Linked DNA regions of Ovis aries. The protein of the gene in region 3 interacts with the protein of the main gene of each other region in a pairwise test. Links are inferred from orthologs where the notes say so. Each region holds a gene or a part of one and is shown on either strand. Other genes may lie near its edges.

Region 1 (3,648 bases), on a different chromosome or scaffold from region 3:
GCACTGGCGGGGGTGGGGTTGCTGCTGCCATTCTGAGGAGGGGAGACTGAAGAGGGGGGCGGGGGCGCGGCAGGGGTGGGTGCAGGGGGCTGCGGCGGGGCTGGAGGCTGCGGTGGGGCAGGGGGCGCAGCCTGGGGTGGCGGTGGGGCCAGGGGCGGCTCGCCGAGAACCGGAGGCTGGCTGGGAGGACCGCTCAGGGTGCGCAGACAGGCCTCGCTCAGCTCGTGCGCCTTGGGGTGGCTCCCGGCATTTGCAGGCGACTGGAGTGAACAGGCGGGTCGGTGGTACTCGCCATCTGCGCCCAGCGCTGTGGATGCCGGGTACGGCTGCTGATTGGCATTATAACCGAACCCGTTGGCTGCCTGGTAAGGGTAGCCACCGTAGATCGCCGAACTGTCGTAGTATGTCGCTTTTTGCATCGCGTTGTTTCACAATCTTGATCGCACACTCTGACAGGGCCTTGACACCCGTGAGGGCGCACATTGGCACGCCCCCGCGGTCACGTGACGCTCCGCAGCCAATGGCCGCCCCGCGCAGACCTGGGGGGCGAGAATCGCAGCGCCGTGAGGGCTCCGCGCAAATCCATCTTACTCTCAATAGCTAAGTGACATGAAAGCCATAAAAGAAAAAGTGGTCAGCAATATTTAGCAGCACGACTTGGCCCCGGGCGCAGAGAGCCGCGCTATAAAAAGCCGCTGGAATTTACTGGCAGCTACAAATATTTGCTTAACTTGCGTCTGGAGTTGGGGGGTTTTCCAGGGAGAGAGGAGGAGAGAGAGGTTGGGAAGCCGGGGCTGGAGTTCAAAAGGAGAAAGGCCTGATGGACTAGAAAGGAACAGGATTCGAATCCCTTATTTTCCAGGGAAGAAGAAACTTGGGGTCTCCGCTCGCTCCTTGCATTCCTCCCTTCTGGAGATCGAGGGGAGGGGCAAAGGAGAGTTTGGGTCACCAACGTTTCCTCCAGTATTTTCTTTAAGACTAATATTTGCCAAAAGAACCATGACGCGGGGTGACTTCCCATCCAGGCCCTTCTTGGACCTTTCAGCACCCAAGAGAGGTACGCACAAAATCTTTTCAGGCAATAGCCCGACTGGACCCTTGTTGATTTCAGAAGCTGAGCTTGTTAGACAGTTAATCTACCTTTGTGTAAGGATACGACCTACCTCCTCCTAATGAGACCTCTGTGGTCAAGAAGGGGAGAGAAAATGTTGGATGGAACATTCCGGGTGGGAAGAGACAGACAACAAGACCCTCTCCAGAAAGTAAAACTCAAATCTTGAACAGTTCTTTACTCCTCCCTCTCCCTATTTCTCAGGCAGGTCCCAGCAGGCCACTCCCACCTCTTTCCCCCTGTTACAGAAGTCCCCAGACCCTCCTGCCTTGGACTTTCTGAGGTCCTGTTATTCAGGACAACTATCAAATTCTACCTGTTAAAACATGATGGATTAGAGAGGAAAAAAAAAAAAAAACCATCAGGAACCTGAAAAACCAGCGTCATCTCCATGACCACCGCTTGAACTCTCCTTCCAACTTAACGATAATAGGTTCTGTCTTAGAAACTGCTATGTAATTTGATGTATGGGGGTCATTTGGCTCCGGACGAGGGATGGAAGCACAAGCCATAAAATCCTGCCAGAGTTCTCTGATCTTTGTGTTCTGTTATTGTTGTTGTTATGTGCTACTTGGCCTATTTACCTGCTTTAGAAATACAAAGTAAAGGACAAACCTGGAAAGCTAAAAAGCAACTAAAAGCCTTCTCAATCCCTTTTCATTTAAAAAGCATGTTGTAAAAGTGAAATCTATGTTTTATGTTTTCAGCTTTGCATGGTCAACCTCTGGCTCTCAGCTCAGAAAACTTTCATGTGAGTTCATATAGTCACCGCCTCCCACCCCACCATGCAATCAGAATGTTAGTCTCTCTGACCATTTAAGAAAATTACAATAACAAATTCATGAAGAAAAGGGTTTACACTGCATACCTCAACTATGTGTATTTGTGCCCTGGAGTTATTCAAGATTTCCAGAAATAGCACACCCTTTGTTAACTAGAAAAAAATTAACTGTAATAAGCATCTACCAGTGAAAGATTATAATTTTGGTTTTAATAATAGACTTTTGGATTTCATTATTAAACCAACAATCTAACCACCATCTGGAAAACAGGCACAATTAATTTCCCAGAACCACAATTAAAAATTACAGCATCCCTTATCCGGAGTTATTGTATGTGATCTTAAGCCTGTACGGTTTCTCTTTTGGAAATAGATAGGAAGCTACAGATCCCACGATCAAAAGTAAATAAAGGATAAAATAAAATTTAAAACAGAATAGCAACTGAATGTCCCTGTTTCCTGTTCTTTCACTGAAAATAGTTCCAATTACATTTGGCAGTGTTAATGTCTGCCATTATAAATTTTTAAGATACTGGGCTTGTATCTTTGAAAATAAAACGTCAGGTTAAGAAAATTACTCCAGACACTTGAACAGCAAGATATTAGATAAAACAAAATTAAGCTGATCTTGAACATGCAATATTTCAAGTGACTTGCTAATCCATTATCAGAGGCTACACCCGCCTGCGGCTTAAGTCTTTTCGTCAAGTTATGCATTGCCTTGTAAAATAATTTAAAATACCTTTAAACCTCTAAGAGCAAACAACAAACTCCACAATCTCAAAATGTGAACTCACCCACTAAAGCCCTTCCTATTGTTTGAGGCCCACCTTGGGGCCCACACAACCCACAAACCTCCTCTCTACCCCAATCCAGCCCCCAAAGTTTGCAACCTGGTAAAGAAGTTGGAAATTTGCCAGCCAGGAAACTTTGCTTGGCACCCCCAAGCAAAGGTTGGAGATGGGAGGAGATTCCTCTGAAAAGCTCCGTTTCTGGAGAATAACCCTCAGGTACAAGAACTGAGAGTTGAGGAGGCTAAACTGACTGCAGGAAGCAAGCCCTATTGTCTCTCTGGAAGATCTGCCCAAATTCAACCTCCTTCCTTCAGACACCGCTCTCTTTTTCCACTCCCGCCCCTTCCTCGGCCTGCCCTCACCCCGAGTTCAAGCGGGAAAGGCGGGTAAGAAACCCCGCGTCCCCTCGCCCAGCCCTTCCTCTCCTTCCTAACCCCGAAAAGTTGAGGCTGGGCTTGGGAGAGGGACGAGGTGGGGGTGGGGATGGGAAAGCGGCCTGAACTCGAAGTGTAAGGGTATCAGTCACTGCCGGGAAGGAAGCTCCGGCTTGTGAACTCTTCTTGAACCGAGATTTAAGTCTGCAGCCATAAATCACCGAGACGTAAACTCCACCATTCAGCGCTGAGAGCCGCCGGTTGGAGCCCTGCTTACCTTAACTTCTGACGAGCTCGGGCTCGGGCGCAGGCTCGGGCTCCGGCCCCCGGCCCGGCTCGGCGGCCCGGCCGGGTCCCCTCGGCGCGGGATGGGCACCGACCTTCAGCATCGGCCGAGACGGCGGGCGGGAGGGAGACCCCGAGGCCCGGACGTCGCGGTGCAGAGCGTGGCCGCCTTGCTGCTCCGGCACGGCTAGCCCAGGGCGGACTGGGGCGGCTCGGACCCCCCCTCCCACCCACCCCACCCACCCTCCCCTCCCCCACACCCCCGCCCCCTGCCCTTCCCGAGGGCAGCAGCCGCGGCCCGGA
Region 2 (3,648 bases), on a different chromosome or scaffold from region 3:
AAAAAAAAATTTACAACAAAGGTGTTTCTTTTCCTAAAATTAGAGAAACAATAGGAAGAATATGACAGGATATAGTTTTAATACTGATTTCCAACAACCATTCCAGGGAAGCCAAAAAAAAGATGTTCTTGACCTAGAAAATAAAATAGTCCGATACCACCAACTTACGGTACATACACTTACTTGATTTTGATCTTTTACATGGCTAAATAAAACTACTCCCTGGATCGTTGAGTCCTGATAATTTTTAAGTAAAGCTATACTCAGGACTTCACCTTGGTGTTTCTCTATAACTGCACAAAATTTTAGGACAAAATTTTGTAATTTTGTCTTACATTTCCCTTTCTTCGTGGCTCAGCTGGTAAAGAATCTGCCTGCAATGCAGGAGACCTGGGTTAGATCCCTGCGCTGGGAAGATTCCCCTGGAGAAGGGAAAGGCTACCCACTTCAGTATTCTGCCCTGGAGAATTCCATGGACTGTATAGTCCATGGGGTCACAGAGTCAGACATGACTGAGCAACTTTTGCTTTCACATACTAACCGTGTTCTAAGTTTCATATCATATAAAAATCATATTAAGTAATATCAGTTTTATTTCAATACTTTAAATGAAAATAGGAAGCTCTGAAAATCAAGGAAAAGGGAATAAAACATTCATGCAGAGTAACAAGAACCCTCCTTTACTGGTGCTAAGAAAGTAAAATGAATGGTGCAGCTGCTTTGGACAGTAGTCTGATAGCTGTACTAAATTCAGCAATTCTGACATGCACCCCAAGAGCAGCACTATTTACAGGAGCCAAGACATGGAAGCAGCCTAAATGTCTATCAACAGGTGATTCAATAGATGTGGTGTATGTATACACAACAGGATATTACTCAGCCATAAAGAAAGAATGAGATAATGCCACTTGCAGCAACATGGATGGACCTAGAAATTATCATACTAAGTGAAGTAAATCAGACAAAGACAAATATCACATTATTCCTTACATGTGGAATTTAAAAACATGATGCAAATGAACTTATTCACAACACAAACTCACAGACAGACCAAAAAAATTTTTTTAATTAATGGTTATCAAAGGCGAAGAGGAGGGGAAAAATTAGGAGTTTGGGATTAACAGAAAAACATTGCTATATATACGTATAACAGATAAATAACAAGGACCTACTGTATAGCACAGGGAACTCTACTCAATATCTTGTAATAACCTATAATGGAAAAGAATCTGAAAAAGAATAGATATAGATATATGTATAACTGAGTAACTATGCTGTATACCTGAAACTAACACAATGTTATAAAGCAACTTTACTTCAATTTATTTAGAAAAAAATAAAAATGAAGCCCTTCAGGAAAAAAAAAAAAAAAAAACTCAGCAATTCTGAACCTAGGTACATACTCAAGAGAAATGAAAACATTTCCACTTAAAACTTGCACACCAAGGTTCATAAAATCAGTACTCACCATAGCCAAAAAGTGGAAACAACCCAACAGTTTATCAACTGATGAATAAATAAAACATGGTATATCCACACAATGGAATATATTTCAGTCCTAGAAAGGAAGAACGCTCTGACACCTGTTACAACATGGATGAATCTTGAAAACATCACACTAAGTGAAAGTGGCCTGTCACAAAAGACTACATATTAATACAAGTCTATTTATATGAAATGTCCAAAACAAGCAAATCTACAGAGACAGGAAGTAGATTAGTGGTTCTGAGAACCATGAGGATTGGGAGAAGTATGGAGTGACTGCTAACAGGTATGCAGTTTCTTTAGGGGTGATTAAAAGCTTCTAAAATTGACTGTGGTGATGGCTGCACAACTTGGTAAATATAGTAAATACTATCAAACGGTACATGTGAAAGTGAATTGTATGGGAATTACACCTCGATAAAGCTGTTTAAAAAAACAAAACAGATAAAACATTCCCCATATATAGCCACCTGTTTCAAAGTGTCAATGACAGAATACCTGTCACTGGAGGTGCAGAAAACGACGGCATCAGGGGTGTCTGCGGAGCTCTTCCTGCATGTCCCCTTGTAATGTCGTAAGCTGAGCCAACAGAGAATCCCGAAGTGGGAGGACCCGAAGGGGGTGCAGATAAGAGAGTGTTTGGGGCAGAGGTGGAAGGCGGGAAGTGGGATAGAGGAGGATGACTGAAGGCAGCACCAGTCGGTGGAGAAACAGGAGGTGGCAGAGAGGTGACGAGCGGAGGAACCGAAGGAACTGGTGAAGATGGCACAAAGGGCAAGGGTGCCGCAGGCTGCACAGGAGGCAGGGACGGCTGGGGGGTGGAGAACACCTGTGGCGGCAGGCTCTGCACAGAGGACCCGCTTGGAGAAGAGAAGGTGCTGGCTGCAGCTAGGAAAGAGGGGAGGAAAAATCACGCTTCAGTGACATGCTTTTCACTTAGTTTTCAAAGTATCTCATTATCATCTTGGAAAATTTTTAAATTTAACAGATCCTATTCCCAAGAGTTATCTTTAAATACATAATTTAAAATACATGAGTATGACTGAGTGCAAATGACTCTCAATTCCCATCAGTAAAAACAGCAGGTATATACAACTAGGTTATGGTATTGCAGATCTTTGTGTTTCCGTTTGTTTTGTTGTGCTTTTAATAAAATAGACCTGCTTTTCATCTCTGCTAATACGAGCATAAAACCTCACAATTTAGGGCTCAAAAACTTTGGTCAGAAGGTTAATCTCCACGAAGTCACAGAACATTAGACAAAGCTAACGTGCTTTTTAGGATATTTCTGTCATGACAAAGATGATTTCTAGTTAATATGAAAACAAAAAATAAAAATTAAAGCAAACAAAGATGTTTTCTGCCTTTGGGCTTAAATAAAAAAGGCTATTTACCTTCATCCTGGCAAAGATTACAAAAGTTTTAATATGTAGGCACACCTCAGTTTATTTTGCTTCATTTTACAAACTGAAGGTTTGTGGCAACCCTTATGTCAAGCAAGTCTATCAGTGCCGTTTCACCCGGCAGCATTTGTTCTTCATGTCTCTGTGTGACATTCTGGTACCTCTCAAGATATTTCAAACTTTACATTATTATTGTATTTGTTATGGTGATGCATGATCACTGATCTCTGGCACTGCAAAAAGACTGCAACTCGCTGAAGGCCCAGATGATAGTCAGCATTTTAAAGCAATGCTTTAGCAAAGTATTTAACTGAAGTGGGTACATTGTTTTTTTTAGACATAGACATAATCTATTACACACTTAACAGACTACAGTATAGTGCAATCGTAATTTCTATATGCACGAGGAAATAAAATCCACGTGACTTGCTTTATTGCAGTGGTCTGGAACTGAACTCACAGTATCTCTGAGGTATGTCTCTAGGCTTTTGTTCAATGACTCTGAGAAAAGATGACAGTACCCTGACTCTCCTCAAAACCCACTGATGCTAGACAACTGCACGTACCTAAAGGAGCCGGGGAGGAGGACAGTGCAGCAGAAGCAAGGCCCCCGGGATTCGGTGGAGGGGTCCCAGGTGGCGTTGTCTCTATTCCACTTTCTTCCATCATTTTTCAATTTCAGTAAAACTGTAAAAATATTAAAATGTAATAAAGATTACACAGTAATAAAAAGTATACTTTTAAACCTTGTTATCAGTTC
Region 3 (4,301 bases):
TTGCTAAAATTTGTTGCTTGCCCCCTGCTTTCTAAGTTTAGAAAATTAATATCAGGGGCTATTATTTTAAAAGAGCAGCAGCATCTTAAACATGGGCACATCAAGTAAAAGCAAGGAGAATGAAGTAAAAAAAAGTTCCCTTATATAAAAATTTTATCCTTTAAAGAGTATTTATGACACTCTTCATTTGTTTACAAATTCTTTCAAAGAGTGCCCACATTTACGAGAGTGATCACAGGTCACTATTCCAGGTGCAAAAAAAAGTTACACTTAACAATAACATCTTTCAAGAGCTCAAATTTCTTCTGCCTGTTATTTCTTCCTGCCATACGGGATCACCATACCAGGTAGGTGTGACAGAACTGTCTAGAGCATTTGGATTTTTCTGGAAAAAGCTTTAAAGACACCAATAAAATGAACGGTTAAACCAAAAATAAACTGCAAACCAGAAGGGAAAAACAACAACCAATCCTTTCCCTCCACGTCACCCTGTAAGTTCTAATTCTATTTGGAGTTATCAGGCCAGAGGGATTCCCAAAAGCACTCATTACCTAAGTATCTCACTATTCACTACTCATCTCAGATCTGACATCTTGCCCAAATGAATCACTTTTATGAGAATCACGTAAACGTCGGAATTTATTGCAGTTATCCTTTTTACTGGTTTTTAAAAGAGTTCATACCAAAGTGGATTGAGAATGGCTTTGCAAGTTGGCCTGCTGCAGAGCACTGGTTCATACTGTACGGGAGGCAGGTCTGGACGTTCTTTTAAAGGAGTGAGAAGACAAGCAAGGGGAACAACCATTCTTGTAGCCTCGAGTCTGCTGGAAGGCCACACATTCCAACTAAAACGCACACCATCGCGTTCTTCATTCTGCTGAATGAACTCCAGGTATGTGGCCATTGTCTAAAAAAAAAACTACAGATAAACCCTTAATTGTATGTGAAATTCCCAACTGAACTTCAAAAAAAAAGATGATGACCTAACGCAACATTCTTTAAACACTTAAGTCTAGAAGAACTTGTCACTGGAGGATGTCAACGTCTCACTTCTCTCTGACCCCCAAGGGTCAGTTAACTTTATGGCTACTTTCCTTTTCCTTTCCCAAATCCCCGTTTCTAGCACTTAAAAAAAATAAAAGGGGCGGGAGGTTTAAAATCACTTGTTCATCTCTAAGCTGCATGCAGTTGAGTAAGTCATTTAAATCTCCTCAAACAGCACATTATCACTTCAGCCAAGCAGATTTCAACCCCGTGTTCAAGCCCTGTTTCAGAAGCTGGCTACCTTCCTCCCTGACCCCCTTTCCTCCTGATTCTATTTCAGTAAAACTTGTATTAAAATTTACATTCCAAGCGATCTTGGTTTTGTGCCCTTTTCCCTCTTTCCATTATTAACTACAAAGAAAAGACCTAGATACTGATGCTCAAATGCTATTCATGGAGTGAACAGCCCCCAGTGCTTACCCAAAGTACTTCTTGGGATCACCGGAATTAAAGGCCAGCGGACTACTACACTACATACACACCTCAGCAGCACCCATCCTCTCACCACAGTCACTTATGCTCATGCCTTGAAAGATTCCAACTTTAACAGCCATTCAGATTAAGTACACTTTCAAACCCAGATAATGCCAATTCCCCTGAGTGCCCTATACATCCTGTTTACATACTAAAATCTAGGCTAACGTACAGTTCAGCTATTAGGTAGGATTCAAGGGAACAAAAAGCTCAACAATGGGAAAAAAGGCAAATTAAGGTATCTATTATATAAGTGGCTTCTAGTGCTCACTTATGCAATGCTAAATAATGACTGTCTCCAATTATTTTAAGATGTACCATACTGTTAATAACTCGGACAAAGAAAACAATATACAGCTTATAAATGTGAATGAACCGATTACTCTGCTACACACAACATTGATCATAGAAATTCCAAATGTCTGTTCCAATTAAACCCCTGAGGCATATGTTATGTCTGGCAAAAGTGGGAAACTGAGGCACTATATACACAGAAACACTTCCACAGCTTCCTGGGCAGCAAAAGGTAATTTAGGTGGGAATGAAAGCACTCTCAGCAAGCACCTCAGCAGCTTTCATTTAGTGACCATTTTCCTTCTCAAAACATTTCCTTACTAATAGGTACTATATCTCCGTCCTATGTCCCCAAGCATCTACATAGTAAAACCTGCACTGTCCATTTCCCACTGCCTCTCTTCCCCTCACTCTTTCAACAGCGTGGATTCTTAACTCTGGGCTCACAGCCAACAAGGAACTTCACAAGGTCAATAAATCCTTTGAAACTACATGCAAAACTGTGTGCATGAGCCAACAGTGCATTAAGATCCTGTATATGTATCTGTAAAAAAAAAATCTGTACCATTCATCCCACCTTAAGGGCATGACTTTTCAGGACGCAGCTAAGGCTAAGCAAGGAGTCCGAAGACCTGGGTTCTTAGCTCCGACTCCGTTACGAAGCGTAAATCATTTAAACTAATTCTCGAGTTCCTCAACTTTAAAATGGACGTTGGATCCTTCTGGGCCCCCTCCCTCGAGTCCGAGGGATTCTGCGCCAAAAGCAGGCCCACCGCCCCAGCTGGCGGGGACCGAGCCACTTTCAACAAACCCTTGGGTCACCGATCCCCTCAGTTCCTCCGCCTGCTGGGAAAAGGCCTCGCCCCAGGAGTAACCCACCCGCCCTCAGCAGAGACTCTTATCCCAGCTCTAGGCCTCCCATCACCTGTGCTGCCCGCTCACCTGGCCCAGGAAGCTCACCTGGCCGCAGCCTTCCGCAACCACAGCTGCTAAAAGCCGGGCTCCGGCTCCAACCACCAAGTCCACCTCAGCTCTAAGCCGATTGGTCAGCAGCCTTGTGCGTCACTCTACGGCGCCGTCCGCTAGCCAATCAAACAAAGCCTGGGGGCGGGAGAGAGGAAGGAAGACACTCAGACAGGCTACGCCGCCATATTGAAACAGGGCAAGCCAGACGCGCTTCACGCCTCAAAATCACAGTTCCTCAGAATACACGTTTTTCCACGTTCAACTCTAAACCCTTCTGCCTCACGGAACACAGGCGCCTACAGAACTGTTTTCTAGGCGCAACTTGGGCGCCTCAGGAGCTCGCCGCCGTCCAATAAGACGCCCGCTCCCTTCAGTGGGAAGTCCCCCTCATCACCTTAGATACCGGGAAGCGAGAATGATGACGTCTGGTCCCGGAAGAGGGCGGGGCTGCTCGCAGAGGAAACCGAAGTTGGACGGAAGGAGGTGTCGGCACGCACGAGGGGGCGGAGCTAAGGGAGAGTGGGGTGTGTGCGCGCAGGAGTCCAGTCGGTGAACAGAGGTATAATTACGGGTATTCTTTGTCTTGTGGGTGTTCCTGTTCTGGTTTGCGCAGGTGCATTGAGGCTCTCTGCGGGGCCAGGCATTAGTAAACAGTTCTTGTCTATCCCTGTCATCCTTCCACGAGAAGGTGAATAATTGGGAGCTGTCGTAGTCAAGCATTTTAAGAGATTAACGAAACTCCTAACGGTTAGGACGCAACTTTCTACAACCACCACTACCGTTTTACCCCCTCTAAGTGGCAAAAAGGAGCGCGTTTGTTAATCTAATTCAGAGATGCCGCCTCTGTGTAGCATATAAGAATAAGCAAAATTATATAACTTTAAAACTATTCTTAGATCATAGCAAGGCGTCCAAGAGTTAATTAGCTCAAGTTAGTTCAGTTCGTTTCAGTCGCTCAGTCGTGTCCGACTCTTTGCGACCCCATGGACTGCAGCACGCCAGGCTTCCTGTCCATCACGAACTCCCAGAGTTTACCCAAACTAATGTCCATTGAGTTAGTGCTGCCATCCAACCATCTCATCCTCTTGTCCCCTTCTCCTCCCGCCTTCAATCTTTCCCCAGCATCAGGGTCTTTTCAAATGAGTCAGCTCTTTCCATCAGGTGGCCAAAGTATTGGGAGTTTCAGCTTCGACATAGTCCTTCCAGTGAACACGCAGGACTGATCTCCTTTAGGGTGGACTGGTTGGATATCCTTGCAGTCCAAGGGACTCTCAACAATCTTCTCCAACACCAAGTTAATATTAGCACAAAGAAATGACCAACAGATCATAGAAATAAGTTTCAAGTTGATGTACTGTGAAGTTACTGTTAATGTGAAAAATTTTCAGGAATTCCCTCACCATCTAATGGTTAGGACTCCCATGAGCTCACTACAGAGGGCCTAGATTCAGTCGCTGGTTGGGGAACTTAGCTCCCACAAGATAACGCAAATTCTATTCCCCTACGTAAGCCAATGAGAACAA

What was found.
Region 1: the proteins of SEC23B (region 3) and HOXA3 interact in binary tests that used the Homo sapiens proteins (3 or more experiments, as listed by UniProt). The two-hybrid records come from large-scale screens. The link is inferred for Ovis aries from reciprocal best matches to the Homo sapiens genes SEC23B and HOXA3.
Region 2: the proteins of SEC23B (region 3) and PRRC1 interact in binary tests that used the Homo sapiens proteins (3 or more experiments, as listed by UniProt). The two-hybrid records come from large-scale screens. The link is inferred for Ovis aries from reciprocal best matches to the Homo sapiens genes SEC23B and PRRC1.

Annotation. Positions count from the first base shown.
Region 1 is NC_056057.1:70,508,095-70,511,742, reverse strand, and holds part of HOXA3 (homeobox protein Hox-A3), read right to left. Parts: exon of another isoform or gene 3,617-3,648; intron 540-3,616; 5' UTR 420-539; coding exon 1-419. UniProt on the Homo sapiens protein: Sequence-specific transcription factor which is part of a developmental regulatory system that provides cells with specific positional identities on the anterior-posterior axis.
Region 2 is NC_056058.1:24,195,620-24,199,267, forward strand, and holds part of PRRC1 (protein PRRC1), read right to left. Parts: intron 3,576-3,648; 5' UTR 3,558-3,575; coding exon 3,455-3,557; intron 2,374-3,454; coding exon 1,984-2,373; intron 1-1,983. UniProt on the Homo sapiens protein: May act as a regulator of the protein kinase A (PKA) activity during embryonic development.
Region 3 is NC_056066.1:38,146,161-38,150,461, reverse strand, and holds the start of SEC23B (protein transport protein Sec23B), read right to left. Parts: upstream 2,848-4,301; 5' UTR 2,773-2,847; exon of another isoform or gene 2,755-2,772; intron 920-2,754; 5' UTR 905-919; coding exon 684-904; intron 1-683. UniProt on the Homo sapiens protein: Component of the coat protein complex II (COPII) which promotes the formation of transport vesicles from the endoplasmic reticulum (ER).